7 linked regions of the Sus scrofa genome follow. The protein of the gene in region 1 interacts with the protein of each later gene in a pairwise test. Links are inferred from orthologs where the notes say so. Each region holds a gene or a part of one and is shown on either strand. Other genes may lie near its edges.

Region 1 (4,264 bases):
TCCTTGGGGTGGGTGGGGGACCCCAGTGCTGGGGTGGGGGAGGCCCGGTCTGTGCAGAAACCCCTCCTCCACGCTGCGCTCTGTGCGCCCTCGTCCTGAACCCGACGCCTGTGGGAGCTCCAGCAAACCGGTCGTCCTGAGCCTGCGACCGTGACACAAGCTGCCCACTCCTCTCGCCCCTGAGCCATGACGCTGAGCGGGTCAACAGAAGGTACACGTCGTCAGCAGGGAGAGAGGCCCGGGAACCCTTCGGGGCGCTTGTCACTCGACAGATTCCCGACAACCCCCCGCCACCCTGCACTTAGCGTCACGAAAGAACAGCGTCCCGCCTTGTAGGTTCCAGCCACTCCTCTTTTTAAGTTGCTTACTGGAAAGAAAAGTCTGTACGAATACTAAAGCAGAAAGCTTGAATTTTAGTTTTAAACTACTTTTTTCAAAAGTTGACACATTTCCTTTAAATATAAATTAGTATCAGCTCACCCTTTAAGTCAAAATTTCTGATGTATGAATCCAGTACTTTCTGAAAACTTACAGACCAGAGGAAAACATGTGATAATCCCATTGGTGTATTTTATCAAAACAATAAATAACATCGGAATTTAATTCATTTTTGAAAAGATACAGTAATACCTTCATGCAGAATCTTTCTAAAACTTCATGAGCGATCTTAAAGTTTCTGATAAATGCTTATCTGCCCTAAGGAACTTCCATTTATACAGAAAAGTGCTGTCACAATATGAATGAAAAGATACAGTTCCCTGAACTTGCTTCAGTGAAAAACAAACCGCACACACTTTAACATTTAAACAATCCAAACGCTTATAAATGCTTTTTCCAGGTGTGAACCGAACTTGCAACCCATGCACTTATAGAAAAATAGGTGATTATTTGTAATGATTTATGTATAAAAGAAAAATAAATTTTATGATACAATTTGATCAACTACTTCATACAAAATTTTACTCGCATACAAGGTCTGCACTCTTTTGCCACAAAAACTCTACTCTTCTGTACAGACTGAGAAAAGGCAGACAGCTTCACCTGGGGCAAGACAGGGCCCACGTGGGGTTGCGGCCGCGTCGCAGGGACCGAGGACGGACACGCGAGGGAAGGCCGGGAGCGGACGCGCCTCCCCTCCCCCAACGACAGGTGTCGGGCCATCTGATCCAACAGAATCCCAGGCGCCGTGCAGAGCGGGGAAAGGACCGGTGTTTCAAGATGCCAGATCTTAATAAGCTGATCTTGAACTCAGCTCAGAAAATCACACGACCTCCCTGTAACAGGTCCAGCTTGGAAATTACCCTAAGAAAACCTTACCTGTGCCCTTTGTGCTGACCTTTTAAAGAAACAAAGCTTCCTCAGGCAATTCCTTGGCTTGCGCGGTACACGCGGTATCTAGAGGCAAAGGGTCAGGTCCCAGACCTGAGGACCCCTGTCTCCAGGCAGGGGAGTCTTCACCCGCAAACCTCAGGCCTTAGCATTTACAACAGCACATGTGGTGAAAACTACACGTAAACGATGCTTTAAAAAAAAACCTTCTGCTTTTAAAAACAATTTAAAAAATGGTAACATCAACACCTTCAGTAAACCCGCCCCCGCTACAATCTTCCTTTTGCAGTTTCCCCCAAGCTCCCGGCCTCTCGGGGCACAGGTGTGCGCCTGTGGGAAGGAACAGGTGGCGAGCAGCCCCCCATCTGCAGGGCCGAGGACTCCCTCCAGCTATGCTGGGAGGTGCGTGGGGGAGGCCAGGGTAAATGCTGGGGAGAGTGAGGCTACGGCCTGTGACGAGCTCCCGTGCAGACGACAGCCGTGAAAGCCACTCCGAGGGCTCCCTGCCAAGTGTGTGAACTGCCAGGGCTGGAAATACAAGCCAGAGCGAGCAGAGACCCAGAGGAAAATTACACGAAGCAGCGCATGCAGCTCCCAAGAGGCTGAAAACAGAAGGCCACAGGCACCTTCTAAGGACGTGAGCGGAACCGAAGCCTTTCCAAGTGGAAATGAGCTGAAAATGCAACGGGTTCCTCTTCGGGCCTCCCTGGCAAGTGCTCGTCAGGAGGTGCAGCCTCCTTCGCTCAGCAGAGGAGCCCTCCCTGGGCTGAGTCCAAGGTCAAGGTCTCCTACGCCCTGGGCTTCCCGCCAGAGGACCCGGCACAGAACCGAACAGAGCAGCCTGCCGCAGAAATACCAGGACAGGCCCGTAAAGACACTTCTCGCACGGGCGCTTTGCAGAGCTCTTTATAACTGGCAAGCACGCTAGCCAGAGGAAGGTGGGCAGGCACGGTCTTCTCAGACACGGAATAAGCTGGGCTGCAGGCGCGGAAAGTCAGCGGGCTAACAGCGAACCCCGCTCCCTGCCTCCAACCCGAAACCTCAGGGGAAACGCCGTCCTATCTTCTCCGCTTTACTCGCACACCGAGGACAGCGACGTTCAGTCCTCGGCGTCGTGTGCCTTCACCGTCGGGAACTCAAGTTGATGCTGTGCACCATTTTCCGGATTTTCTCTTCGTTCCTCAGGATGCTGGCCTTCACGGCGCGGATCTTGTCCTGCTGGTCTCTGACCAGCTGCTCCAGCTCGGCCAGCTCCGCCTTCAAGGGCTCCACGGCGCAGTCCGTGATGCTGGGGAAGACAAAGCCAGGGGCTCGTGAGCGTCTTGCTCGCTTTGGGTTTTTGCTCCCTGACCAAAACAGTGAAAGACAGCGACAACACGGCACCCCAAGAAAAAGGGTAAAAACCAAACCCTTCTTGGAGAACGACATAAAGGGAGGAGAACTGCACGCCTGGGAGGAATCTTTTTCTTACGTGCATGCACACACCACAACCAAAAGCAAAGTCGAACATGGACTTTACACAAAGGAGGCTTATGTTTCTTAAAGGAATGGGCTCGAATTCCTGAAGGCGCATATGCTGCAGAGGCCTGAGGACGGCAGGGAGCTGAGCCCGGGGCCCGCAACACCCCGAGCCGACAGCCCACGGGCCCTCACCTCCCGGAGAGGCGCTCCAGCTTCAAGGGCTTCCTGCGGCGGCCCCTCTGCCTCGCTTGTTCAAGACAAGTCAGGAGGCCTTTGAGTTCCTGGATTAAATGCTAGGAAACGTCTAGAATGTACCCGAGAAAGCTGAAGTCAAAAATAACCTCTCCCGTTAGGTTTTCATATGTATTCTTCTTTTTCTTTTTACAGCCGCACCTGCAGCATATGGAGGTTCCTGGGCCAGGAGTCAAATCGGAGCTGCAGCTGCTGGCCGGCACCACAGCCGCATTCGTGACCTAGACCACAGCTCACGGTAACACTGGATCCCTAACCCAATGAACGAGGCCAGGCTCTAACCCACATCCTCACGGAGGCTGTGTCAGGTTCTTATCCCACTCAGCCACAATGGGAACTCCTATTTCCATTAAAAAAAAATTTTTTTTTATGGTCACACCCAATGGCCTATGGAAATTCCCGAGCTGGGGAATGAATCTGAGCCACACGTGTGGCAATACCAGATCCTTTAACCCACTTCGCCAGGCCATGGATCAAACCCCCACCTCGCAGCAACCTGAGCCTCCAGCTGCTACAGCTGAGTTCTTAACCCGCTGGGCCACAGCGGGAAAACCCACCTGAGGTTTTTAAAGCACATAAATACAAAATAAAATATAACCAAAAACAGTGACAGTTTTCAACCATCCTACATAAAGCAAAATCAGGTTCTGTAAGGAAGCAAATGTCTGGGGAGATACTTTCTAATACCTTAAATCAAAATGTAAGAAGTGCCAACAGGAGTTCCCACTGGGGCTCAGCGGTAATGAACCCAACTAGTATCCATGAGGATTCAAGTTTGATCGCCGGCCTTGCTCGGTGGGTGAAGGATCCAGAGTGGCTGCAAGCTGTCATGTAGGTCGCAGGCACAGCTTGAATTCCGTGCTGCCGTGCTGTGGCGTCGGCTGGCAGCTTCAGCTCCGATTCGACCCCTAGCCTGGGAACTTCCATACGCTGTGGGTGTGGCCCTAAAAAAAAAGGCCCCCCCACCTGCGCCAAGGGCTGACGCGTTATCTCGTCAGAACAGGCACCAAAAAGTTCTCAGGGACCGCCTACTTCTGTCATGCCGCTAAATTTAAGGGACTTTTAAGAATAAGCAGACTAGTAACAGATAGCAGAGCTTCACTATAATTGAACTTTTAGTTACACGGGCTTACAGACAGATCCCCGAGCCAATTCAAGCGTTTTCTCAAAAAGAGAGTTAGCAGTTGACAGAGCTGCCTGCGGCCAGGTCCACTGATCACGC
Region 2 (4,106 bases), on another chromosome or scaffold:
ATGCAGCGGGAGTGGCTCAAGAAAACGAAAAAAGACAAGAAAAAAAAAAAAAAAAAAAAGGTGAAAGTTCCTTTTGTGGAAAAATGTCCAGCCCTTCTCTCACCACTAATAAAGCATTGGCAGACTACATTGCATAAATGACTCCTCTAACTACCAGCCACTTCAGTCACCGTTTAGATGCTCACTCAGGTCAGAATCTTATTTCTACAGAAATTTGTTTAGGAATTAAGTAAATCAACAAAAATAAAATATTCTGATATAAGCATATAGTAACACCTTGAAGCTAGATATAGTATACCTTTTGTTTTATACAAATTTTTTACTAAGAATAAATACATGTGAAAGTTTAAACAAAAAAAGCTACTCACCACCATCCCTCTCTCTAACTCTGTGAATATGCACGTTTTTGGCCTTACTGTGACCTGTACTGTCACTGTATTTGTTTTCAGGACTATCAGATCTCCGCAACATTTTATTTGGTGGTGAAGGATCTGCGGCGTCTCGCATTTTTTCATGTCTGTGATCACCACTACTGGGGTGACTCTTCGATGAATACTTAAGTGCCTGTAAAACATCACCCCCCCAAAGAAAGAAAGAATTGACATCTTAAACTTTCTAAATTAATTTCATTACAAAATTTGGTATATAATTTATGTTTTATGAGTTTAGATCAATAAAACTAAAATTTCCTCTTTCAGGTCTACCTTTAAGTTTTACAGACAATACCTAAATGCCTAAGAGTTACTATAAGGCTCCTCAAGTTGTAATACCTTATGTTAAAAAAAAAAAACCCATTCATTATCTTATAAATACAAGAAATCAAACAAATTATCTTATAAATACAAGAAATCAAACATGTTGGGACATTCACTTCTCAATAAATTTTTCTGGAAATTAAAAAGTTTAAAGAAAAGCAGAGTCAGAGTACTACTGTAATTTGTTTCTGCTCTAAAACTGAAATGCATATAAATAAGTATAAACATGTTTCTGCAAACCAACAAAAAAAAAGGGAGAGAGAACCCATCAGGTTTTCCAATTCTTGGATTTAAGCAAAGCATTTCAGACCTAACAACTACTCTTGCAGGTGGCAGAAACAATATTAAGGTATAAAAATGCTGACTGATATTTCTGACATTATCTTAGTGGAACTTAATGGAACTCCCTCGCAATAATCTAGCATATGTAGACATCTTTAACGTATTTAAGACAATGATGATGTAGCAGTCTCTTAAAATGTGTGATTAATTAAATTTCAGAGGGCCTGATTCAACAGGGTTTAATCTTTTAACACATTACAGAGGACCTAGGGTTTTTTTTTTTTTTTTAACTTGAGCTTTAACAACCCATGGTAGTCAGGAACAGATGTAACAGCCTAGAAACCTGATGTAGAAAGTATTTACTTCTAGGGTCCTCTGAGTTACCAACCATTATCCCCACCCCACCCCCACGACGGCCCGGACAAGTGGGGCCACGTCTATCATAATTTTTTGAAATTTTAGATGCAGTGACTGCAACAACAAAGAGGAACCTATGTACCTAGAACCGTCTACATTAGAATGAATTACCCAAGTATCCAAAGACCTCAATTCCTATAGAAACAAAAGCGCCATCTTTCATTAGTAAGGCACTTAACTGCACCAAAAACAAATTAGGAAGGGGTAGTGGTTTACAAAACACTTCAGAGCTGCCAATCAATTAGTGGCTTCTTCCCTGGCCTTCCACCTCATTTCCGTCGCTTCACCTTAACTTTTAGTTCCCCAACACACATAAAGCCGGCTGAGAAATCCCCTATTACCTCGCCCCACCAATCCCCTCACATACAAATAATCGAGTCAGGTCGTTCTTAGCCGAGAACGACTTTTCCTAAAAAAGCCTGACCACCCCCCCGGTCACCTGTCAAAAATCAGTCTCGAGGGCCCGTCGGGCGCCGAGCTCGGGGCCCGGGGGGCCCGCGACGCCCGGGTGGGCTCCGGGGCCCCGAAGGGCCTGCAGCGACTCGCGAAGCCTGCGCTCGAGTAGCAGTTCCTCCCCCGCCCGCCCAGCCCGCCCGCCGCCCGGCCCTCCGCCGCCTCGCGGGTACCTGGTAAGGCTGCGAGTCCCCCCTCCGGTCGTGACAGCTGAAAACAGGAAGAGAGGCGACATGAGACGCGGGCACGGCCCGGCCCCCGCGGAACCCCGCGCCGCCCCGCGCTCCCGCGAATGCCCGGTCGGGCCCCGCGCGCTCACACGCACGCACACGCGCTCACTCGCGCTCACACTCACACGCGCGCCCGCCCGCCTGCACTCGCCCGCCGCCCGCCGCCGCCCGCGCGGCCGCTCCCCCCGGCAGAGCCCGAGCAGGGTTAACAACAAAAATGGCGGCGCGGCCGGCCCCAGATAAGGAGGCGCCCCCCCGCCGCCCGCCCGCAGCCCGGCCCGAAACGAAAAGACGATTTACCCATCACTGAGTCTCTGCTGTTTCCTCGCATACATTACCATCAATGCCCGGCCTGTGAGCGTGTGTCGGGGAGGGGGGACAGCGGCCGCGAGGCGGGCGGCGGGCGCGCAGGCGGCGGGCGGCGGCCTCCGGCGGCACAGGGCCCGGCGCGCCCCGACGACGCTCAGCACCTCCCCGTTACTGGCGCCGGCGCTCCCGGGCCATCTCCCTCCGCCCGCACCACGCTCTCGCTCAGCCGGGCAGCGGCGAACCGGGGGGAGGGGGCAAGAAGACGCGTCCGGCTCGGCCCGCGGAGAGCGACTGCCCCCTCCGCCTTCTCCCCCTCCCTCTCCGTCGCCTCCGCCCCTCCTCCCCCCGCCGCCACCGCCGCCGCTCGGGTCCTTCTCCTCCTCCTCCTCCTCCTGCCGCCGCCGCCGCTGGTGCCGCCGCTGCCGCTCCACCAACTACATCCGGGCAACTCGGCCTCTGCGGCCTTCGGAAGCCCTCGGCAGTTTCCGCCGCGCCCCTCCTCTCCCACCCTCGCGCGGCTCCGGAACGCCGCCTTCGGCAAACCTCGGCTCACCCCGGCCCTCCTCTTCCTCCGAGGCCTGGCTAGCCTCCTCGCGCGCGTCAGCTCTTTCCGGTTGCCGCCACAGAACCCCAGCGTACGTCCGGCCGCCACCGTTCCAGTTTAGGGGTCGTCGGGCTCGGGGAGCCGCCCGAGGCTGGTCGTAGGGGCCCTGGGGCGCGCGGGGAGGGCGGCGCCTTGGGGAGGAGGCTGGTGGGGCGCTCGAGGAGCCATCGCGGACTAAATAAGGGCGGCGGCGGCGGCTGCGCGTGCGCCCAGCGGCGCGGGGGCGGGGGCGCCCTCGGGGAGAGCGCGGGCCTGGTGCTTCGGCGGCCCCGGGCTTGCGGCGGGGTCGCCGGGGGGACGCCCCTCAGGCCTGCTCTTAGGAGCCGAAGTCGGGCCGGGGCGCCGTACGCGGGCAGGGCCCGGAGCTGGGCCTTCGGCTTCGTGAAAGTAAGTCTCACCCGGAAGCGTGCTCGAGCGAGCCTCAGCAAGGGGGGCGCGGGGCCTGCACCCCCAGAGGAAGAGCGAGGGCCGCTCGGCCTTTGGGTTAAAACGACCGAGCCTGGGACGCACGGGTGGGGTTACTTGGGAAAAGAATCGAGGCGCTTCCGCATCCTTGCTCCTAACGTTTCCTCCCCTACCCCCTCCTTCCTTTATTTCCCGTTTTTCTCTCTTTCCGTTCCTTTTCGCTCAAATGCAGTCATCTGGAGGTTCTGCGCGGCTTAGGGAGAGCTTAATGAAATCTCCGCAAACTACATTTTATAGACTGTTCCAGGCCCTATAGGAACATTTGCACATTGGGAGGGGAAAAATCAAGTATCACCACCCCCAAATTAGGGCTTTACTTGAGGGCACTGGTATTCAGATGGTTTTCTTTTTCTGCTCTAAACTTGTACGGCAACATTGAGTGAAAAAGATGATGATAAAGTACACAGCCGTTTACCTGGAAGAAAAAAGCTAAATAGGAAACAAGTCAGAAGAAACAAGATCCCTCCAAAAAACTTATTTATTTGGTATACAACCAGTTGCATTATTTGTGGCATAGTGAAGATACGGAATCATGTGAGGAAAAGGCCCTGAAATCACCACTGATCGAAAAAATATTAATTATGTAACCTT
Region 3 (3,550 bases), on another chromosome or scaffold:
AATTAAGGCACAGAGAGGTTAAGCAGCTTGCTAGGACACTCTTGGGGGCTGGGCTTCCCGTCCCCTGGTCCCCTGAGGGCGGGGGCAGGGTGCTCCCTCCCCCTCCCCCCGCGGCAGGGAGTGGGCTCCGCACTGACCGTCGATGATCAGCGAGGCTCTCTGGGTGGGTTTCTTCCCAGACTTGACGCGGTTCTCATTGATTGCGCTTTCAATCTCTTGCAACTTCTTCAGTGCGTTCAGATAGGAGGTTTTCCTCTGCTTCTTGAGTTTTTTGCTGACGTTAGGGTCACTGGCCAGGCGGCGGGCAGCCTCTGTAATCTGGGACTGAATGGCAAACTCCCGCTCCAGGCGTTCCAGCTCGGCTTCCTGTGGGAGGGAGGGCAGAGGGCACACTTAGCGGGATGCTAGGGCGGGTGACACCAGTCTTCCCCCTCCACCCGTCCCGCTACTAGCGGGCCTTAGTCCTGGGAGACCCTGGCCCCGCCCTGCCCTGCAGTGGCCCCGCCCCTCCAATCCGGGCAGCTGGTTCCCTGGACACGCCCACTTTCGGGACTTCAAGCCAAGTTCCAGGTGGGTCCAGGGATGGGCGCCATCACCGAGAAGCAGAACTTCCTTGCTGCAGGCCTTGGGGTCACGGGGGTTCACTTCCAAGATCTCCAGCAAGGTTCTCCAACACCCAGCCTTCCTGGAGATCCAGAGCCCCCCGGGTGGGCATTTCCTTTCCATCTGCGGCAGCACTCTTTTTAGCTTGGTCTTTGTCTTGCTCTTCCTGAGTTTGCTAAGGAGGGGCTCACATGGGCACATCTCCCCAAACACAGGGCCCATCTGTCACACTTTGAGCCCTTCAGGCTGGGCATCAGCCCCTTCTCACGCCTCCTTGGGCAGCTCCTTTCGCCCAACGCCAGCTGTCCACTCACCTTTGGCTCTACATAGAACCTCTGCTGGGTTATTACTACCAGCCGCGCGGGAGTGTGGACGGAGGGCAGCAGAGCCTGGGCAGGAGGGCTCCCCTGCTCATGGGCGGTCCTTCCTCTCCTTTGTGCTTCCCTCCTTCCTGTACCCCTTACTCTGGCCAAAAGGAGCACATGGATGAATTTTCCCTCGGAGTTTTGGACCTGGGAGAAATGCAGCTGTGGGCACCAGAAGATGCCAGGTGGACCCAGAGCATGACAGTGGGGATCACGCCTTGGCGGCTGGCTTCTCTGCAACTCAGCCAGTGCCTCTCCCCAACACCGACCAGTGAGGCCAGGGGAGCCCAAGCATGCACCTTGCTCTGGGGGATCCACCATCTGGCTAAAGCCTGCAAAGAACTGATCTGACCATAGAAGCACAGATCACCAGGTTTGCTGGCATCAAGAAAGCTTCCTCATTAAGGCTGAATGAACCACCTTGCTCTGGTGGCACCACGTGTCAGGCTGGGTGCCTCCATCAAGCACAAAGCTCTGAGCTGGGGGGCACTTCCTGTAGACACTTCTAGAGCCTGAGGTGGGGGCAGGGGTGAGAGGGAAAGGGGAGGATTAAAGGAACTATTGAGGGGCCAACAGCCTCGCCAGTTCCTTCAAGTGGCCGTTGAATTTCTCCTTCTCTGGACAAGAAGAGAGATGGACTCCCGCCCGGGGCCTTTGAGACAAACAAGCCACTGAGGACAAAGACCGCTCTGTAAGTGACTCTGCCTCACAGCTGCTCCTGGGCAGTCAGGCCAGCCCTGGCCCAGGACACTGACCCGAGGTTTTGAGGGCACCCGGGACAAATCCTTGCTACTTAAATGGAGCCAGGGACAAGGGTGGTGGCCCATCTGCACAGATGGCTACCTGCTGTGTGAATCAGGAGGCCAAGGGCACTCCCAGGAGAAGCAGGGATTCCCAACAGTGAATGCGGGGGCTGGTGGGGATGGCAGGGGTGCAGTGGGATTCCGGGGGAGCCAAAGTCATCGCTTACTGGAATGTGCGAAGGAGGCACCATGAAAAGGCCTGGTGTGACCGTGGGAAGAGAGGAACACAGGTGGGGGGGTGCTCACTCAAGTGGGGTCTCCCTGGGAAAGTGTATTACAGGTGTCTCCCAGCACAAGAGGAGGAGGAGCTTCCGGGCAATCCTGATGACGGCTGGGTTAGAAAATGACTCCTCAAGATGGTCTTTGAAACCCCACCAGCCCACAGCCCACTTCTGACCCCAAAAAAATCCCAGCCCAGCACCTGTCTGCTAACAAGTCCTTGTGTCTACTGAGCATCCGCAGGTGTCAAGTGCCGAGTTAAATTTCCGGGCACTGGCTCCCTTAATCCTAGTGACAGTCCACAGAGAGGAGGGTCCGGAGCTTGACTTTACAGCAGATGGAAAGAGCCTTCAAACCAGGATGCAGCAGGAGGTGGGGGACCTGCTTACAGATCTCAGGACACTAACGCCCCCTCCATTGATGCCGGGGCACGTGTGTTTTTCTTGGAACCCACCCTCACACTCACCCACCGCACGGTTCTGTGAGAACCGTGGCGTCTCTCACTTTTTATTTATTTTTTTATTTTGTTATTTATTTAGCTTTTTGGGGCCACACCTGCGGCATATGGAGGTTCCCAGGCTGGGGTCCAATTGGAGCTGCAGCTGCCGACCTACACCACAGCAATGGCAACTCGGGATCGGAGCCGCGTCTGCAACCTACACCGCAGCTCACAGCAATGCCGGATCCTTAACCCACTGAGCAAGGCCAGGGATCGAACCCACAACCTCATCGTTCCTAGTTGGATTCGTTAACCACTGAGCCACAGCGGGAACTCCTTTATTTTTTACTTTTTTGGCCATGTTTGCAGCATGGGGACATTCCTGGGCCAGGGACTGAACTTGTGCCACTGCAGTAACAACGCTGGATTCTTAACCTGCTGTGCCACCAGGGAACTCCACTCTCACTTTTTTAAAGGGACTAAACACTCAGAATATCCCCTTGTCCACTGGCTTAAATTCCTTCCCTTTTCAGCCCCCTGTTCGATAGCATTTTAATGAGTAACTGTATTCGGCATAAATTAGGAAAGACATTTCCTGGACACACCCCTGGGGTCTGTAGTGTGCCTGGCCTTGAATTGCTCTCGGTCTGAGACTGGATAACTTATTAACCAGATGGAGACCCAAGGCTCTGCTCCGGCCCAGATCTGCACGCTCCGCTTCTAGTCCCTGCCAATGTTTAGTCCTAAGACAGTAAAGTGAGGGGTGCTGCACCAGCCTCTCTGAACGCAGACGAGGGAGGCCAGGCATCTTGCTCATGCCCTGGAGGTGATCTGAGGAGAACCTCTGGGGGCAGGCCTGACGGTCTCCCAGCCAAGGGCATCCTGGCACCTGCTGACATGGCTGCCATTTTCTTTCTTTTTGGGTTCTTTTCTTTTTCTTTCTTATGGCTGCTCCTGCGGCATATGGAAGTTTCTGGACTAGGGGTCAAATCAGAGCTGCAGCTGCCACAGTCACACCGGATCCTTAACCCACTTGATCGAGGCCAGTGATTGAACCCACATCCTCATGGACACTATGTCAGGTTCTTAACCCACCCGAGCCACAACGGGAACTCCTTTTT
Region 4 (4,157 bases), on another chromosome or scaffold:
TCCATAGTCCTACTGCCTTCCTATCCAGTTTCTTATGCAGAACCCCTTTTCTTCAATTTCCTTAAGATTCAAGGTGGGTTAGGGGCATATGTTCAACTCAGGAAACACCCTCGGTTGCATTCTGAGTGATTAGGTCTTATCTGGCCAGGCCATCATTCTCTCATCCTTTCCTCATGGTGTCTAAGTGACCTTAAAAACTTACCAGACAATTGCTAGGCAGAACCTCCATCCCCTCCTCCCTTCTCCCATCACCCTGCTCCTCCCCTTGGCCTAGAGCCTCAATTCCTGCAGTCTAACTCTGTTGGCCAGCAGAGGCCCTGTGACGTGGAGAAAAATCAATCCAGCCAGCTTCTAGGTGGTTCTGCCCAGGGTCTGCAGCACGAGTCTGATCCAAAGGGAGGAAGGACAAGAAAGGCTTGGCATTTTTTTTTTTTTTTTTTTTTTGGCCAGGGAAAGAGAAGAAACAGAGGGAAAAAAAAAAAAAAGCCTGAAAAGGGGCTTGGGGTGTTGGGACTCTGTCCAACAGTTCTGGGACAGGAAACACACTCACGTAGGTGCCTAAACCTGCCTGAAGCCCAAATGCAGATGTCTGCCCTAGAAATCCTTTCTCAAAGCCCCTCTGGCCTTACCCACTCCTAAAGTCCTCCTCCATCACTGCTTTGTTCCTCACTTCTTGCAAAAGTTACTCTTGGCCCACCTCCTTCTCAGCCCCAACCTAGGAAGAAAAAATGAGAGTCTTATCTGCTTTTGAATTCTGATAACAGAATGGGAGTTTGTCTTCCTTCCAATTGGGGTCCTGGTGTGTATGTTGGGGAGAGAGTAGAGTGCATCTTTGCACGCAGAAGGGGAAAGGGGAGAACTCCCCTGACACCCTGAAAAATGGGACTTGAACACGCACTTCCTTCCATAGGGGTACAGGCAGCTGCCCTTGAAGGTTCAGTGGGTTGGGAATCTTTGCGAGGGTTTTTGTGCTCCCAGTTTGGAGCGAGGACTGTGATGAGGGTGAAGGATGCCTTGGAATGAAGGAGATGGAAGCACAGTTGACTCTTCCTGGGACAGAAGACAGGCCCACCTCAGACTCCTTAGCCCTTCCAGGGGGTGGAGGCCGGGGTGAGGGACAGACGGGTCAGGCATGTGGGGGGTGGAAGGCAGAGAGTGACTTGGGTGGGGAAGGGGTGAGGACAGGGTAATCGAGCAAGCGTTAGGGGTGGGGCGAGGAGGCGCGATGACAGCGCAGGTGCCTCGCTTGGGTGGTGGGCGCCGCGGAGCAGCACCCCCCAGCGAAGGAAGCCCCGCCCCGCTCCTCCATCGCCGCCCCGCCCAGGCCCGCAGCGCAGCGCTGCAGCGCGAGGGACCGAGAGGCAGAGCGCCCAGAGAGGACCAGACCTCCAGGTCGCCCGCATCCCCCGTGCAGCAGGAGAGAGGAAGCGTGGCCCAGCCCTGCTCCTTAGCGTTAGCCTGGTCACCCGCCACAGCTCCCTGAGCCTCAGAGACCGAGCACCTGTCCTCCGCCTCGGCCTCAGCTGAGCCCCTCTCCGCCGGAGCACTCGCGACCCCTGCAGCCGAAGAAGTGCCCCAGCCTCACGCCGGCGACCACCATGGCGGAGACCAACAACGAATGTAGCATCAAGGTGCTCTGCCGATTTCGGCCCCTGAACCAGGCCGAGATTCTGCGGGGGGACAAGTTCATCCCCATTTTCCAAGGGGACGACAGCGTCGTTATTGGGGTGAGTGCCGCCCCCGGAGGGAATTTCGGAGAGGGGACGGGGAGGCTGAATCTTTTACTCCGCAGAGCCCTAGCTCCTGCCTGTCTCTGCGCCCCCTCTCCGCTGCTCATCCTCCATCCTTTTCGCCGCAGCCCCTCCTCTCCCTGCATCAGGATGGCTGGGTGTGGCCTGGCCAGGCCGGCGGCCGAGTCTCCGCAGAGTGGGAGGGGGCTGCCTTCCCACGATCAATGCACCCAACGCCCCTTTGCTGCTCTCTGCAGCGTCCCCACCCCTAGAGCCAGTCCCGTGTTTTTCTGATGTTTTCCCTCTTCCCTAGGGAAAGAGCATCTTCCCTTTGTTATTGGCTCAGATCTCTACCCTCCAACACCCAGGGAGGGAGGGGAAGACTAGTGGGTGGGCTAGGTGGGGGATGGGCAGTCCAAGGTCTCTGCGGAGGTGTAAATGAAAGTGGACTCCAGGACCCCGGCCTCCATCATCCCTTGAAGTAGTTACAGCCTGGACTTGGGGGGAGGGCAGGGATCTGAGAAAAGGTTTTCGGAGAAAGAAATACATTGATGCCACACCCAGCTTGATGGAGGAGCCTCTGAGTCCTAAGGAAATGTCTGCCTTTCCCTCCCAGGTACAGTAGGAGGAGGATTTCAGACGCGCCGATTCACCCTAACAAATAAAAATAACCAAACCTGTTATCCTAACAAGTAGTTGCTTATTCATCCTATCTCTTGATAATCCAATAAAAAGTGGCAAGCCACCTCCTCTACCTCATCATGACAACCCCTATCCACAGAAGAGACGTTATTAAGAAGGAGCAATAGTGTTTTCTGTGGGCTCATTATGCTGCATATATTGTTTAATCCTTAAAACAACGCTCTGAAGAAGGTATTAATATTTCCATTTTACAGATGAGGCAATTGAGGCCCAAAGAAGTCAACTGACTTTCTCAAGGTCACACTGCTAATTCATGGATATGAACCTAAATCTGTAATTCCAAAGCTTATGTCTCTCCTTCTGTATATCACATTGCCTCCACAGATTTCCATTCTGGACTTTTATCTGGGATGACTCCAAAGGAATTCCTAGGGAGTTCCTCACCTTCCCCTCCTCTCCTAAGTTGGTAGGGACTGTCAGGCTATGGGATGAAAGGGTCTGGGGTCAAGTCTAGTAGGGCTTGAGGGGTGCTGGGCCAGGAAACTGTAGCCAGTTTGAGAAGGGCCCATATAAGGGCCGTCCTCAAGGTCAGGGGCACATCTTATGTATTTTTGATCCACAGTGCTGGGCGCAGGGAATGCTTGTGAAAAGGATGAAGGAAAAAAGGGAAGGGAGTCTGGGCCTTCTGAACCAGTGAGAATGGGACTTCGAGTAAACAGGCTGTAGGAAGAGATTTGCTTACATGTCTTGTCCCCAGGGGCTCTAGTTTGTCACCAGGCTCTCTCACCCACACTGTGAACTCAAATGAGTGCTTTTGCCTTGTGCATGTGCTGTGTATGTGTGTTTTTTTTCACATAGAGAGGGCCCCTGTCTCTCTTTGTCTCAAGGGCCATAGACCTTGCAGTCTGGTCTGTCTAGCCAGGCTAAAAGAATGCCTGGATCAACCCCTGGGGCCTCTTCTCTGAAGAGTCTGGACAGCAGGCATTAGCTGTGAAAGTAAGAGCTTGAGGGCCCCCCATAAAGCTTGAGAAAATAGAAGCAAGGTGGTTATGGAGGAGCAAATCCACAAAAGGCTTCCACTTTTAAGTCTATCTTCCTTGACTTAAATCTGGGTAAATCTGAACCATCTCCTTTAGGCTCTCTGGGCCATCCCTCTCTGGGTGTTGTTGGGAGTTGTGTTGATCTGTCTAATTTGCTCAGTTAAATAGGAGAGACTTGGTGAAAGCAGGAGGGAAGAGAGATGAAGAGAGACCCAGGGCCCCTGCCAACTCAGATCCTATCTTACGCCACAGCTGGTCCTTCTTGATCCGTTTTGCCTGATATTTGCAGGGCTGTACCTTTGTCTCACTCTGTATCTTCCCTTACCCTAGTCCCTCCTGTCAATCTCTCACACCAAGGTAAGTGCTTATGGGGGCCATTTTGTCTCAGGCAGCATCCTGGGAGCTCGTCTGCCCAGCCTTTCTATTCATTTCTCATTCAGGAGGATGAGGGCTAGAGGAGAAGTGATTTTGAGGAGCGCCTTGAGGGTCCCCACAAGGGAAAGAAATCCCCCACTCTTTTCTCTTCCTCTAGCTCCCTTTGGAGCCCAGGGTATGGGAAACTGACTGAGGAATTAGTGGAGGAAGCCGCTTCGGGATGTCTGGGAAGGTGAGGAAAGAATGAGGGTGGGAGAGGCTAATCTCTGCAAGCCCAACCCCTGCTCCCTTCTCTGACGGCTCTCCTCTCTGCTGCAGCACTGCGGCTAGCTCTGGGCTACAGAGTCTCTAATGTTTGTGGGCTTTTTCT
Region 5 (4,107 bases), on another chromosome or scaffold:
GAGAATTAAGAAATAAGATTAAGTTACTTTTAATTTTCTATCTAATTAAAGCTAAAAGTGATTGTCCTTGTAAGGAGTCCCATACTACCAAAGCATTTATTTTATCCAACTAAAAAGAGCTTCTTATGACAAAATACATAGAGGATTTCACTCTGATTTTCGTACCTCTGTCCACCTAGCTTTGGAATGATTTTAACAAGAAAAAAAAAAAAATACTGATAAGCCATTAACAGGAAAAAGAATTTGAGGAAAAGATATTTTGTTAAAGTATCCTTCATCTCCCATGACAGGAGTACAACGGTTCTGTCAGAATAAGTTAAAATCAAGTTTTGAGGTAATACCTAGGATTTGTCATAAGGGAGCTTACAGACCCCAAAGTCTGACGTATTCAAAGCACAATCTAGACGGTAACTAGAAGGCTAATGTGTGCTAAAGAGAATTATATTTGTTATGGGCAGTTCCAACCTATTAACACTACAATCAAGGGGAGATTCTTTGTTGTAAATTTAGATTATCTTTGGAGGCAAAAAGTATCAGCTATTAATGTTTTTACTTCAAGGTTTAATCTGAGGTTAAAATTTGTTGTAAATTTTACTTTTTTCTTTTTTTTTTGGTCTTTTTAGGGCATGTGGCAACTACCAGGCCAGAGATGGAACCCTCCCACAGCTGTAACCAGTCACAACATGGCAACACCAGATCCTTAACCCACTGAGCCGCAAGGGAACTCCTGTACATTTTAAATAAAAGTACACAAATTATTTTATTTTCAAAGGACTTCCCTGCTATACCTCTCATTGACAGAACTAAAATATACTAGATTTAGTGAGCCCATCTATTATATGTGGTAATGTACAAAAAAGCATAGTTCAACTGTGACTCACAGGATAACCATGTCCCTCCCTGGTGTCAGTCAATCACTCAGACTGCTTTTAAACAAAAGTTTAAAGCTGGAAGAGATGTTGATCACAACATTTATTTTTTGTCTTTTGTCTTTTTAGGGCCTCACCGGACTGCATACGGAGGTTCCCAGGTAGGGGTCTAATCAGAGATGTAGCTGCCAACCTACGCCAGAGCCATAGCAACGTGGGATCCAAGCCACATCTGCGACCTACACCACAGCTCATGGCAACACTGGATCCTTAACCCACTGAGCAAGGCCAGGGATTGAACGCGAAACCTCATGGTTCCTAGTCGGATTCGTTTCCGCTGCGCCACAACGGGAACTCCTGATCACAATATTTAAACTACATCCTCAAATAGCACTCTTTGAAATGGTATATACAAAGTGAATCTTAAGAATACAATTGAAATATATTCTCCCAATCAAGCAACATGTCCAGGGTCAGATTAAAGTAAGTGTTTGAGATCTAATAAAACTGATGTGATTAATAGTGTACCAGAGAGTATAGGATTAAGATCCTTTTGTAGGTCACTAGGTCATGGATAAACTGTGAGGCCTGAAATAAGTCACAGCCTTTCTAAACTTACCTATGCAATAATTATGATTACATTTATTTGATACAGATATTCTTTAAAACTTACCAAAACTACCATCCATTGGGTAATCAAGAGGTACCAGTGGTTTTCTTGGTCCAGGTAAAGTAACAGCTGAATTAAAAGCCAGGACATCTTCACTTTCTGGTTTTTTAGATTCAGCTGGCCTCTTTTGAGTCTCTTCTTCTGCTTCATCCACATGAATGGTAAATGCAGGTTGTTTACTGTTTGCTTTCCAAGGAGGAACAGTGACATGCTCATCATTTATAGGAAGATCCTTAAGAGGCGCAACCTAAAAATAAATAACTGGCTTTGAGTCTATTAAATGGAATTTGGCTTTCATCCCCTTATACTGCATTTACTTCCAAATACTCTATCAGGAAAATTAAACTTTATGGGGCAAAATTCAGGCAAGGAAATTTGAGTATGCGTTCCTGCAGAGGTTTTAGAGTCACACTAACGGATTACACAAAAATAATCAGGGCTAAGATAGGTGGTGGGGCAGGCCAAAAGATGCCAAATTTAGGAGAAATGGCAAAAAAGTGGTTTACCTCTTTCGCCCCAGGGTGGAGCAACAGAGCAAATTCGGTAAGATGGCGGAATTGTCCAAAAGCAAAGTATTTTTTATACCTTTTTCTAAAGTAGAGGTAATCTCTTAATTATGTGGGTAGCATGAAGGAGGTCCGGGCAATGCCTGGGGCCTAAAAGCTGAGAGAAAGGCGCGGAGGCGGCAAAGACCGTACTTAACACATACTCAACGTCGGAGGATTTGGTTTGACCATTATTGTCTATAGCAAAATACTCTCCATAGAGCAGACAGGCAACATAAACGCATAGTGCTGGCAGGGAGACTAATGGGAGAAAGGAATGGGGGTAATGTGGCATCCCACACTCGAGAAAACCAGAGGTCAAAGGGACCCCCGACACTGGCCTCCCGAAAAAACCCCAGGAGATGCTACCTCGCCACTCTCCTCTGCGGTCCAAACCCATGCAAAACTCCCGCTTGGCCCACCCTCCTCCAGATAATAACTCATTTACCCGTCGCGTCTTAGGCCTCTGCTGCAGCGCTGGACCCCGTGAGTTCCCGGCCTTCAGTACCGCCAGCCCAGCCCGGGTCCGGGGCTGCTGGGCGGCCGCAGCCTTCTCGGGGTTGATGTTCTCTTGGTCCTCTTGGAGCGCCGTCTGCTGCAATGTTAGCAACGCCGAGCCCGCCTCGCGGGCCACAGGCCCGGGCGCGGAGCTGCCCAACATCACTGCTCCCGGGGGCGCGACGGGATCAGCCTGCGGCGCCAAGCAGCGTGCACTGCGTCCCGCCGACCCGCCGAGGAACACTCCTGCCCTACCTACCCGCCACAGCCCGGGCCAGCCTGCCCGCCCGCCTGCTCAGGATCGTGCAGGACCAAGGAGGTTGCAAAAGCCGGAGGCAGGCGCTGCCGGGCGTGCAGGGTCAAGGACGCCCCCGGAATGAAGCGAGCAGCCCGCCGGAGCGGCAGCTGTTCCTGCAGTTCAAGTAGCCCGCGACTATTGAAATGGACCAATGATAAGGGCCAAGGCCCGTGACGTCACGCTGGGCGACACAGTCGCAGGCAAGTGAAGGCTGCCGCGAAGGAAACCGAGCAGGGGCGGAGCGGGGCGAAGAAAAGTCGGTGAGCAGCAGGAGGAAGTACGCCCGCGCTGCGCAAAGAGGCGGGGCCTAAGCTTATTGTGACTTTAAACGGAGCCACTAGGGGGTCCCTGTCTCAGAGCAAGGGCTGTCTCTAGAATAAACTAAATTAAATTTTAACAATTATTAGTGGGCCACCTTGGCCTTTAGCCTCAGGACCTCCAGTTAGCTCGACTGACTAGTTTCTCAAGGTCTAAAATCTGATCCGCCCACTTACTGGCCCGGTGATCTTGTTCAAGCACTTCAATGTTGATTCTCAGTTTTGTAACTGTTAATTGGGAGTAATAATGTTTATGCGTTATATAGGTGTCCTTAGTATTAAATAACGTGCATAAGTCATTTAACACACTGCTAACGTAACTGATACTCAAGTGGCAGACTACATCATCTTACCATTTAAGTGCTTCGCACAGTCATGCTTTTTATTTTTCTAATGATGATGCAGTTATTTTGAAGTACCACCTTGTACTACTGTTGATAGATGTAGCAAAGAGTAATGTACTACAAAAAAACTCCACTAGATGGTCATTAATGTTCATCTCTTTCTTTCCCAAGCTGTGGTAGCCAACAAAAAGCAGAGTAAAATTCTAGTGATCTATATATAATTATGTGCTCCATTTAGAAATGAATGTTTAAATATAGTAAAAACAATATGACCTTATTAAAATAAAACTCTGTTAGCAATATGTGCCTTAACAAATTCTAACATTTAATATACAAGGCTTGCACATATCTAATAATTATAATGGTATATAATTAAGAAGCACTGTTTTCCAACAAATTCATGAGTGTGAGCGAGCCTTTCTTGAAAACATAAAAAATAGCTTATTTTCTATTTCCTTACGGTATTTTAAAACACCCTTTACGTACAATATTCACCTGAATATGAATCAATATGAATTAAGATTAATGAACAAAACTTCCATAGCCTTAAAGTCATATTTCCCCCC
Region 6 (3,550 bases), on another chromosome or scaffold:
CTCCTCTACTAAATATTTTCATCAGGGATGCTCAGACTAAATCTAGCGACTTTATCTCTGGCAGAAGTACTTTAGCAAAGGAGTGAAATATGAACAGGCTACTGGAAGAAGAAAAAAGTTGAAATTCACCAGCTGGGTCAGGCTCCTGAATAGTTAACTAACTTCTTACTCCAGGACTCAAGAATTATAAATGTGATTAATGAGACTTGGGAGGGACTCTTAAATCACAAAGAAAAGGCTTCTCAGCATCCAAAGAACAATTTCCCATTTTTTCCTTTTTTCAATCAAACCAATGCCTCCACTCTCTCATTGGCCAATTGCAGAAAATCTTTAGAATACTCAGAAGGTGAACAAATACCTAGCTAAATAACAGCCTTAGGAGTCAGTCTGGTGATCCTGCTTATGAAGAACTTACAAGTATTTACACTTTACTGTTAATTAATTTAAATTCAATTATACCATAATGTACAAAAAGTGTATTTATTTGACAGTACTTTTAGTGCACAAACTGTCCTTACTTTAAAGCATGATTTAGTTGACTTCATTGTAAGAGAATTCAACTGATCCCAAAAAGTTTCCTAAAAAGATCCCTTAGCTGTCCTTATAATTCACAGCCTTCCAATCAACAAACCATTAAGTTAGAAGAATGCCCAAAACTAAGTAAATGAATGGACTAAAAGGTCTTTTCAAATCACTAGACTATCTCATGAAATAAGCAAAGTTCTCTCAGGTATTTTGATTACACTGGGTTGGAACAGTTACTCACAACATTATCAAAACAATGTTTTCAATACAATGTATCCTGGAAACAATAAGCTTATAGATTCTGGATGTTTTTCTTCCTCAGACAAAATAAATACACTAAGCCTAAAATGCTTCAACTACAGTATGTTACAGAAAATTACTCTTTAACACAAAATATTCAACTGTTAACCAAGATTTCTTACAGCAATGGTTTATGCAGGAAAGTCAGTGGGGATAATGCCACAAATACTAGCAAGCTTTTTTAAGGCACTAATCCATTTAAGGAAAGGTAACTATGTTATAGCAGTACCAAGGTTCTGAAATACACTTGCTTTAAACCTGAATAGAAAAGTGGATTCTTCATATGCCACAGGAAGTGGCCCTAGAAAAGGCAAAAAGTCCAAAAAAAAAAAAAAAAAAAAAAAGAAAGAAAAGTGGATTCTTGAGCCCAGTCATCTAACAAATGGTAATGGAACTTGGGCCACAAGGAAAAAATTCAGCAAAATTATCCACTTTTTCCCTTAGAAACACAAACCAAAATTCATACTCAGATACAGTGTTATCCATGTGAAATAACATATGCAAAACAGAGAAAAAAGGCTACCTACTTATGCTTAAAATTAAAAGGATAGCTATCTCAACAAAGTCTCCAGTGAAAATATTAGTCACCTTTAAAGGCAAAGGAAAGCCAATTTTTCCAATGTATCCACTTATTTCAGTTTTCTCTAGTAATTAACCTTTACAACATCCCTACCCAAAGAGGAAATGAAAGGGGATCTACTGGAGTCAACTCTCCTGTCCCTCTTTTCCAACCACTCTGGTTTCCCTCTCTCATAAGTCAAGATAAATGTAGACTGGTTTATCTTTAAGGAGGTACACTGTACTTTCTTGTTTATCTATAAAGAGCCCACTGCAGGATCAGGAGGGAAGAACAAAAGTAAAGTACCTCTGGCTCAACCAGGCCCACCTGGAGTACTACACAAAGCTTATGGACAACTTTTCTCAATCAGCAGATTTTGAAAAACTAGTAAGAATTTATCCCAAATTTGTCAATATATTTAACTGGAGCTCAGAGAAAATAAAATCCAAATCTGACAAAGATGATTTCTTTTAGGAAGAGAATCAAATTGTGAAAGCATATGGTGCTTGGAGGCAACCTATAAAGCATTTTCTTATTATTAGTCCATAAACCTCTGAAGTATCTTCTTCTTATTAGTCCTTAAAACATAAAGAAATCTCAAGTGAACACTTGGGTACATTCTCTACTGAAAGCTCAACTAAAAGCAACTATAAATTCCAGTGAACTTAACCAGGTCAACTAAACTTTTGGCCCCACTTAGTAAAAACAACAAAATCTGAAGTCAAGCCTTAGAAACTTACAAAAATATCCTATGAATAGTTTCAAAAGAAATCTATTCCCTCTGAAAGGATGAGTACAGTTTCAAACTAGATGCCTTCTAGTTTTTTCTTAATAAGATTTCAATGGGAAATTAGCAGCTTTTAGCCTACAGCAAGACAACACTATACCAAAACCATCCTCCATTTCTTCACTAGCAGGTCTATGTGAACCCACCTACCAAAAAATTAAGAAAAGAAAAAGACAAACGGAACCTAGGCAAAGAGCCCCTTTCTTTCCACGATGGGAATACATCAGGTTTTTCTCCCTTGCCCCAGCATTTCTCAAGAACATTAGGCATCATTCTACTCACAGGGGTACATGGCGCTGCTCAGGATCCGCTCTGGTCAATTCTTCCTCTTCGACATCAGACTCTCCTCCGGAACTACTGTCAGTGACGTCTGAATCAAATGCTCGTTCACTGCACCTCAAGTTGGCTATACCACTGGCTGTAAATCTCTCCAATTCTTCCGAAACCAAATCACTTTTCAGGAAGTTGCTGAGTCCTTCTGAAGTGGCCGTCTCACTGGCAGCTTTTCTCAATGCAGCTTCAGCCTTTCGAGTCAGCATCAACTGGCTCCGGGGCCTCAGGGATTCTAAGTTTGGCAGTTTGCTCAAAGTTTTCTCTAAAAATCCACCCAGCTGATGCTGTATGTGCCTCTCCACCTGCTTGGCTTGCACAACCTGTAAGCGCTTCTGTAACCTGCGGGCACGGCTCTCAATATCAGCCTGCCGCCTCAGTAAAGCTGTTATCCTTTTGTCAGAATCTAAAGCACTGAAAAGAATGGAAGACAGGGGAGACTTTTTACCCTCTAACTTGACACTCCCCAAGTTAGAACTAGAGTCTGTGTCAGGTGATAACCTACTGCTTCCTTGAAGTGCCGACTGTTCCATGGAATTTATAGAAGATTTGTTTGCAGTGCTATTATTGCTAAATATAGTTGTGTGTTCTACATCAAGGCTTCTATGTGGAAGAGTGCAATTGGTCATACCCCCCTTCAAGTCCCCAGACTCAGATGCCACCACTTCACCTCCCTGAAGAGAAGATGAAGTGAAAGCTCGTTTTCCCCCATTAAGGGGACTGGAATTGTCATGATCAGAATGTGTTGAACTTTTAGTCAATTTCTTTGCCAATCCATTTACAGGTGCTTGTGGCAGAGCTGTCTGACCACTTGTATTCATGGTTCTAAGATTTTCTAAGGAAAACTCCAAAACTGGCTGTCTCCCCAACAGCTCAGCTCGGAGTTCATAGGACTGAGATAAGAGAGGGTGAGATTTAAGTACTGTCTGCTTGCTGAAGACACCTTGCAATTTCAACGATTCCTTTGAGGGAACAGATGTTACATCGGAGCAGAGATAAGATGCCACCAATGGTTGCAGCTTTCCCAAGTCTTCCTTGGTAGGATTATT
Region 7 (4,211 bases), on another chromosome or scaffold:
TTACACAGATGATAGGACCAGAGCCTATTCCAGCAGTGGTGCCATTTTCTCAGCTGCACAAGGCAGACTCTGGGGAAGGGCCGAAGCTGAAACACACACACACAAAAGAAACACCCAAAAATGGGCAAAGGAAGCCAGGTGGGAAATGGGTATGGCTAGACCTGTGTCTTTCATGCCACTGATGACTTTTATCAATACACAGATCCTGAGCAGGTCCAAAACACTGAGAAGCAACTACAGAATATATTCTAATGGAATATATTCTAATTATAAGGCACCTCAGAACTCAAAGCAAGCGAAAGCTTTTTTCTAAAGGTCCTTATTTGCTCTTCAACAACAAAAAATTTACTATATTAATCAAATGAAATCTTCATTTCAGAAATATATAGATTCCCAACTAGACTAATGCTTTTCCCCATCAAACAACCAATACTAAAAAAAAAAAAAAAAAAAAAAAAAAAAAAATCATGAACTGAATGTTTTCACTTAAAACTGCACCTTCTCAAATGCTGAGAAAGCACGTCCATTTTGTACCCACAGCATGGTCATTCCGCCCAGCAGTTTCTGAGAAAGGGACAAAGAAGTGTGCCAGGATGTGTAAAATGAAATCACCATTATCTATGAAATGCAATTTCCTCATTCAAGAGCTTAAATTTATTTCAGTTAGGTGTGGTTACATGTAACACACACTCATACACCAAATCTCAGCAGCAGCACTGAAAAAGACACTATTTAAAAATGATCCAAAATATATTTAGGAAACAACTAGGGTGATACGTTTGACCTTCCTTGAACCCATTTTTGTGGTTATTGTTGTTAGGACTGTGCAACCCCTGATTTCCTTTAATATGGACTGGAGAGGGGATGGAGAAAGGGGGCGGGGGGAGGTGAAAAGTGCCTAATCCAGAATGTACGATTTCTCGGTATCTTAAAGTATTAATAATCTTTTTTTTTTTTTTCTCCACCAAGACCTTGGAGAGTCAACAGAAAGAAAAAAAGGGGGGAGGGATTCAAAGACAAGGTTTCAGGGCTGACCCAAGGCAAGGCCTCCACAATGGGAGGTTCTGAGCACAGAGGCAGCCCAGCTGGGAGTTGAAGGCTGCAGCATTACCGACAGCGAGCTCAGGCCCTGCCCTCCGCATCCAGGGTGCCTCTGCCTTGCGCATGTCCCACTTATATAAAGAGATGCTTACAGTCCAAGTGCTTTTTCTTAGGGCCCATCACTTCATGAGTGGTGGCTTTGCAGACCGCTCTAGCTACAGCGGAGCCTGTCACGCTGTACTGAGCGGCAGCGATCCGATCCGTGAGCGTTTGGCCCGACATCTTCTCCGGCCGCGTCTACCGCCTCCTCTTCTGCGGGAAAGAAGGGGAGACGGTCCTGCTTTGAGCCGCAGACTCTACCCTCAGAACACCCAGACCTTGCCTCCTCCAGCCGCACAGCGGCTCTCTTCCCCGTCCCCGCCCTGGTACCTTGGGCGACCGGGTCTGGGGAGGTCTTGAGCAAGACTCTAGGACCGTCACGGAACCTCAGTGCGGGCTCCGGTCCCAGCATCGTGACAATGTCCCCGACCGATCCCGCCCCACCCCCCGTGCTGCTTGCCTCACCCCTCCGCGCACCCCAGTCCATCAGCACTTTCCCTGCTACCTTGATCTCCGGGTGCCAGACCAGCCCCCGCGAGCGTCGGGGTTATTCCCTGGGCGCCGCGCCTGCCAAGCGCCCACCTCGCGCTTCCTAGCCGCACCGTTTCCTCCTAGAATGGATTGGATACCCAAGCCCTGGCCGCCTCCCTCCTCCTTCTTGCGCTCCTGCAGCAATGAGCTCGTCCTCCCTCGGTCGCGGCGATTATCCTAGCGTTGCGCCATGTTACGCGCTCACCTCCCTTTCCTTCCCCGCCGCGGTCTCCAAAGCCCGGCCGAGGCCCTTCGTCCAGGTCCCCTCCCCTCGCCCCCAAATCCCTGCTGCAGGGGCCGCCCGGGAGCTCTGCGGAGGCGCCGGAGTCTCAGGGCCCCTCGCCCTTCCTGACGGCGGAGCAGAGACAGGCTGACAGCCCAGCCCCCGCCGGCACTCCGGCGCGCCGCGGAGCTGTCACCCGGCTGCTGCCCTTCTCCCCGCCCTAGGATTATCCTCTCCGGATCCTCGCGCGGCCCTAGCACCAGGAGGGGGGCCGAGCGGGGTCGCGAGTACTCACCCCGCCGCAGAATCAGGGGAGCCCGGGCCGCCGGGGGAAGTCGAGCCAGGTGGGTGTGTGCGGCCGCGCGCGGACCCGGTGCCCCGGGGCGCGACGCCCCCAGCCCTGGCCCGGCCCCCGCCCTCGCTCCGCGGTCTCTGCACCCGCACTCGTGGCCCCAGGAGCCAGCCGCACCCGCCCGCCGCCGCGTCTCTCCAGCACTCCGCGCTGCGTCCCCATCCCCGCCCCCACCTCAGCTGTGGCTGCTCCAAAGAGTCAGGTGACGGCGGCGGACAAACCCGGGCGAGCTCTCCGCCGAGCGCCTCGCGGCCCCCTCCCAGCTACTCACACACACCGTTCCCCGGAGCCGCGAGCTTACAGGCCGGGGGGCGCCGCACGCGAGCATCCCCGGCAGGCTCGAGGAGAGAAGGAGGCGGGGAGGCAGGGAGGCCGACACCTACCTAGCCAAGCACCCTCCTCGAGGTGCGCAAACGCCCCTCCGCTCCCTGGACCCGCACCCAGCACGACAGTGCGTGCGCGCGCACCGCGCACACCTGAGGGCTGCCTGCGGGATGCGCCCAGGGCGGCGGGGGCGTTGGCGCAGCCGGGAGAGTGAGCTTCTGGAGTTGTGTTCCGTGAAGGCCTGGGCTGGGGCGTCGTCGCTAGGTGCCTGGCAGAGCCCAGCCCCTCCTCCCCTACATCTGACTCGCCCGCCAGTGGAAAGCAGCCGATGCCCAGATAGGCAGGGCGATTTAAAATGTCAGATTCTGCTGGCCAACCGCGCCGTTACCTGGGGCGTCTTCCCTCAACTCCTTGGGGGTCTTTTACTTGGCCCTGTTATAGTTGGGAGCTGGGATAAGCATCGTATCCTAGTCACTTAACATTAAATGGATAGTGACCTCTACTACAAAGACAAATAATTAACAAAACCATCCATCGAGTCCCAGATCATATTTACAGTAATCATTTGGGTCTGTAAGGAAAACTCTTTGTACCTTTAAGTAATTACGGTCAATTAAATGTAGTGTTTGAGTGTCTTAGGTATTTGAATTGCGTACATGGATTTCTGCTCAGGGATTTGGCTAGGTTAATAGTTTCTCGTGTTGACATTTTCAAAGATTGTTATTTACCCTAACCTTAAAAATCTTTTGAATTCTCACAGTATAGTCAAGATCAGAACTTCATTTGTGAAAGTTCTTGGCTACAGGTGGACTCTATTAGGCCCTAAGGCTGTAAAATATCTACTTAGAGATGTCAAGGTTTTGTTGCTTACTCTCTATTACCTGACACAATGTTGAGTACAAAGTCATGACTTTGTAACTGTTGGGACTGATTCTAGAATTAATTAGAAGCATGACGACCTTTGCCAGGTTTCAAATGCTAGTTTTACCATAGCTAGCAATAGCACACCTAGATATTTAAACAAGAGAAATAAAAGAACACATTTCTGGAGTTCCCCCTATGGTGCAGTGGGTTAAGAAGGAAACTGTGGGGCTTCTGAGGGGAAGGGTTGGACCCCCAGCCTTGTGGCAACTGTGACACCCCTGGGCAGTAGCTGTGGTTCGCATTAGATCCCTGGCCTGGGAATTTCCATGTGCTGAAGATGTGGCCATTAAAGAAAAAAAGCCCAAACGCTACTTACTGTTGTGATTCTTTTATGTAACATTCTGAAAAAGGCAAAAACTATAGAGACAAAGCATGTCAGATGCCAAAAATGGGCAAAGAAACTGACTGCAGAGGGTCAGAAGATAACTTTTTGGAGGGATGGAAATGTTCTATATCATGGTTGTAATAGTTACACAACTGCATGTATTTCTCAAAATATCAATTTGTACACAAAATTGGTGAGTTTATTGTATGTAAATTATACCTCAATAAATCTGATTAAAAAAGAGCTTTTGGCAACATTATCAGACAGATCAGACTACACAATATGGAATATTAGGGAAGATTTCATAAAGATAAAAATTCCTCAAGCATGGGTAACAACCCTACATGTTTGTAAGTTGAGAAGAGCTTCAAAATGGACTGAAGCAAAAACTG

The links.
Region 2: the proteins of TRAF3IP1 (region 1) and WAC interact in a two-hybrid assay, tested with the Homo sapiens proteins (2 studies listed by BioGRID and IntAct). The link is inferred for Sus scrofa from reciprocal best matches to the Homo sapiens genes TRAF3IP1 and WAC.
Region 3: the proteins of TRAF3IP1 (region 1) and FRMD4A interact in a two-hybrid assay, tested with the Homo sapiens proteins (2 studies listed by BioGRID and IntAct). The link is inferred for Sus scrofa from reciprocal best matches to the Homo sapiens genes TRAF3IP1 and FRMD4A.
Region 4: the proteins of TRAF3IP1 (region 1) and KIF5A interact in a two-hybrid assay, tested with the Homo sapiens proteins (2 studies listed by IntAct). The link is inferred for Sus scrofa from reciprocal best matches to the Homo sapiens genes TRAF3IP1 and KIF5A.
Region 5: the proteins of TRAF3IP1 (region 1) and CCNA2 interact in a two-hybrid assay, tested with the Homo sapiens proteins (2 studies listed by BioGRID and IntAct). The link is inferred for Sus scrofa from reciprocal best matches to the Homo sapiens genes TRAF3IP1 and CCNA2.
Region 6: the proteins of TRAF3IP1 (region 1) and KANSL1 interact in a two-hybrid assay, tested with the Homo sapiens proteins (2 studies listed by IntAct). The link is inferred for Sus scrofa from reciprocal best matches to the Homo sapiens genes TRAF3IP1 and KANSL1.
Region 7: the proteins of TRAF3IP1 (region 1) and SNAP91 interact in a two-hybrid assay, tested with the Homo sapiens proteins (2 studies listed by BioGRID and IntAct). The link is inferred for Sus scrofa from reciprocal best matches to the Homo sapiens genes TRAF3IP1 and SNAP91.

What each region holds. Positions count from the first base shown.
Region 1 is NC_010457.5:137,908,610-137,912,873, reverse strand, and holds the end of TRAF3IP1 (TRAF3-interacting protein 1), read right to left. Parts: intron 2,618-4,264; coding exon 2,452-2,617; 3' UTR 549-2,451; downstream 1-548.
Region 2 is NC_010452.4:39,931,719-39,935,824, reverse strand, and holds the start of WAC (WW domain-containing adapter protein with coiled-coil), read right to left. Parts: upstream 2,823-4,106; 5' UTR 2,723-2,822; coding exon of another isoform or gene 2,520-2,722; 5' UTR 2,488-2,519; coding exon of another isoform or gene 2,481-2,487; 5' UTR 2,479-2,480; coding exon 2,438-2,478; intron 2,118-2,437; coding exon 2,081-2,117; intron 583-2,080; coding exon 369-582; intron 1-368. Other genes in the region: uncharacterized protein LOC100621751, read left to right, coding at 2,481-2,487, 2,520-2,722, 3,033-3,437.
Region 3 is NC_010452.4:48,015,804-48,019,353, reverse strand, and holds part of FRMD4A (FERM domain-containing protein 4A), read right to left. Parts: intron 367-3,550; coding exon 138-366; intron 1-137. UniProt on the Homo sapiens protein: Scaffolding protein that regulates epithelial cell polarity by connecting ARF6 activation with the PAR3 complex. Plays a redundant role with FRMD4B in epithelial polarization. May regulate MAPT secretion by activating ARF6-signaling.
Region 4 is NC_010447.5:22,815,539-22,819,695, forward strand, and holds the start of KIF5A (kinesin heavy chain), read left to right. Parts: upstream 1-1,322; 5' UTR 1,323-1,598; coding exon 1,599-1,727; intron 1,728-4,157. UniProt on the Homo sapiens protein: Microtubule-dependent motor required for slow axonal transport of neurofilament proteins (NFH, NFM and NFL). Can induce formation of neurite-like membrane protrusions in non-neuronal cells in a ZFYVE27-dependent manner.
Region 5 is NC_010450.4:102,259,052-102,263,158, reverse strand, and holds the start of CCNA2 (cyclin-A2), read right to left. Parts: upstream 2,814-4,107; 5' UTR 2,746-2,813; coding exon 2,533-2,745; intron 1,787-2,532; coding exon 1,543-1,786; intron 1-1,542. UniProt on the Homo sapiens protein: Cyclin which controls both the G1/S and the G2/M transition phases of the cell cycle. Functions through the formation of specific serine/threonine protein kinase holoenzyme complexes with the cyclin-dependent protein kinases CDK1 or CDK2.
Region 6 is NC_010454.4:16,953,598-16,957,147, reverse strand, and holds part of KANSL1 (KAT8 regulatory NSL complex subunit 1), read right to left. Parts: coding exon 2,454-3,550; intron 1-2,453. UniProt on the Homo sapiens protein: Non-catalytic component of the NSL histone acetyltransferase complex, a multiprotein complex that mediates histone H4 acetylation at 'Lys-5'- and 'Lys-8' (H4K5ac and H4K8ac) at transcription start sites and promotes transcription initiation.
Region 7 is NC_010443.5:82,539,641-82,543,851, reverse strand, and holds the start of SNAP91 (clathrin coat assembly protein AP180), read right to left. Parts: upstream 2,841-4,211; 5' UTR 2,630-2,840; intron 2,595-2,629; exon of another isoform or gene 2,548-2,594; intron 2,445-2,547; exon of another isoform or gene 2,190-2,444; intron 2,045-2,189; exon of another isoform or gene 1,877-2,044; intron 1,836-1,876; exon of another isoform or gene 1,646-1,835; intron 1,354-1,645; 5' UTR 1,324-1,353; coding exon 1,194-1,323; intron 1-1,193. UniProt on the Homo sapiens protein: Adaptins are components of the adapter complexes which link clathrin to receptors in coated vesicles. Clathrin-associated protein complexes are believed to interact with the cytoplasmic tails of membrane proteins, leading to their selection and concentration.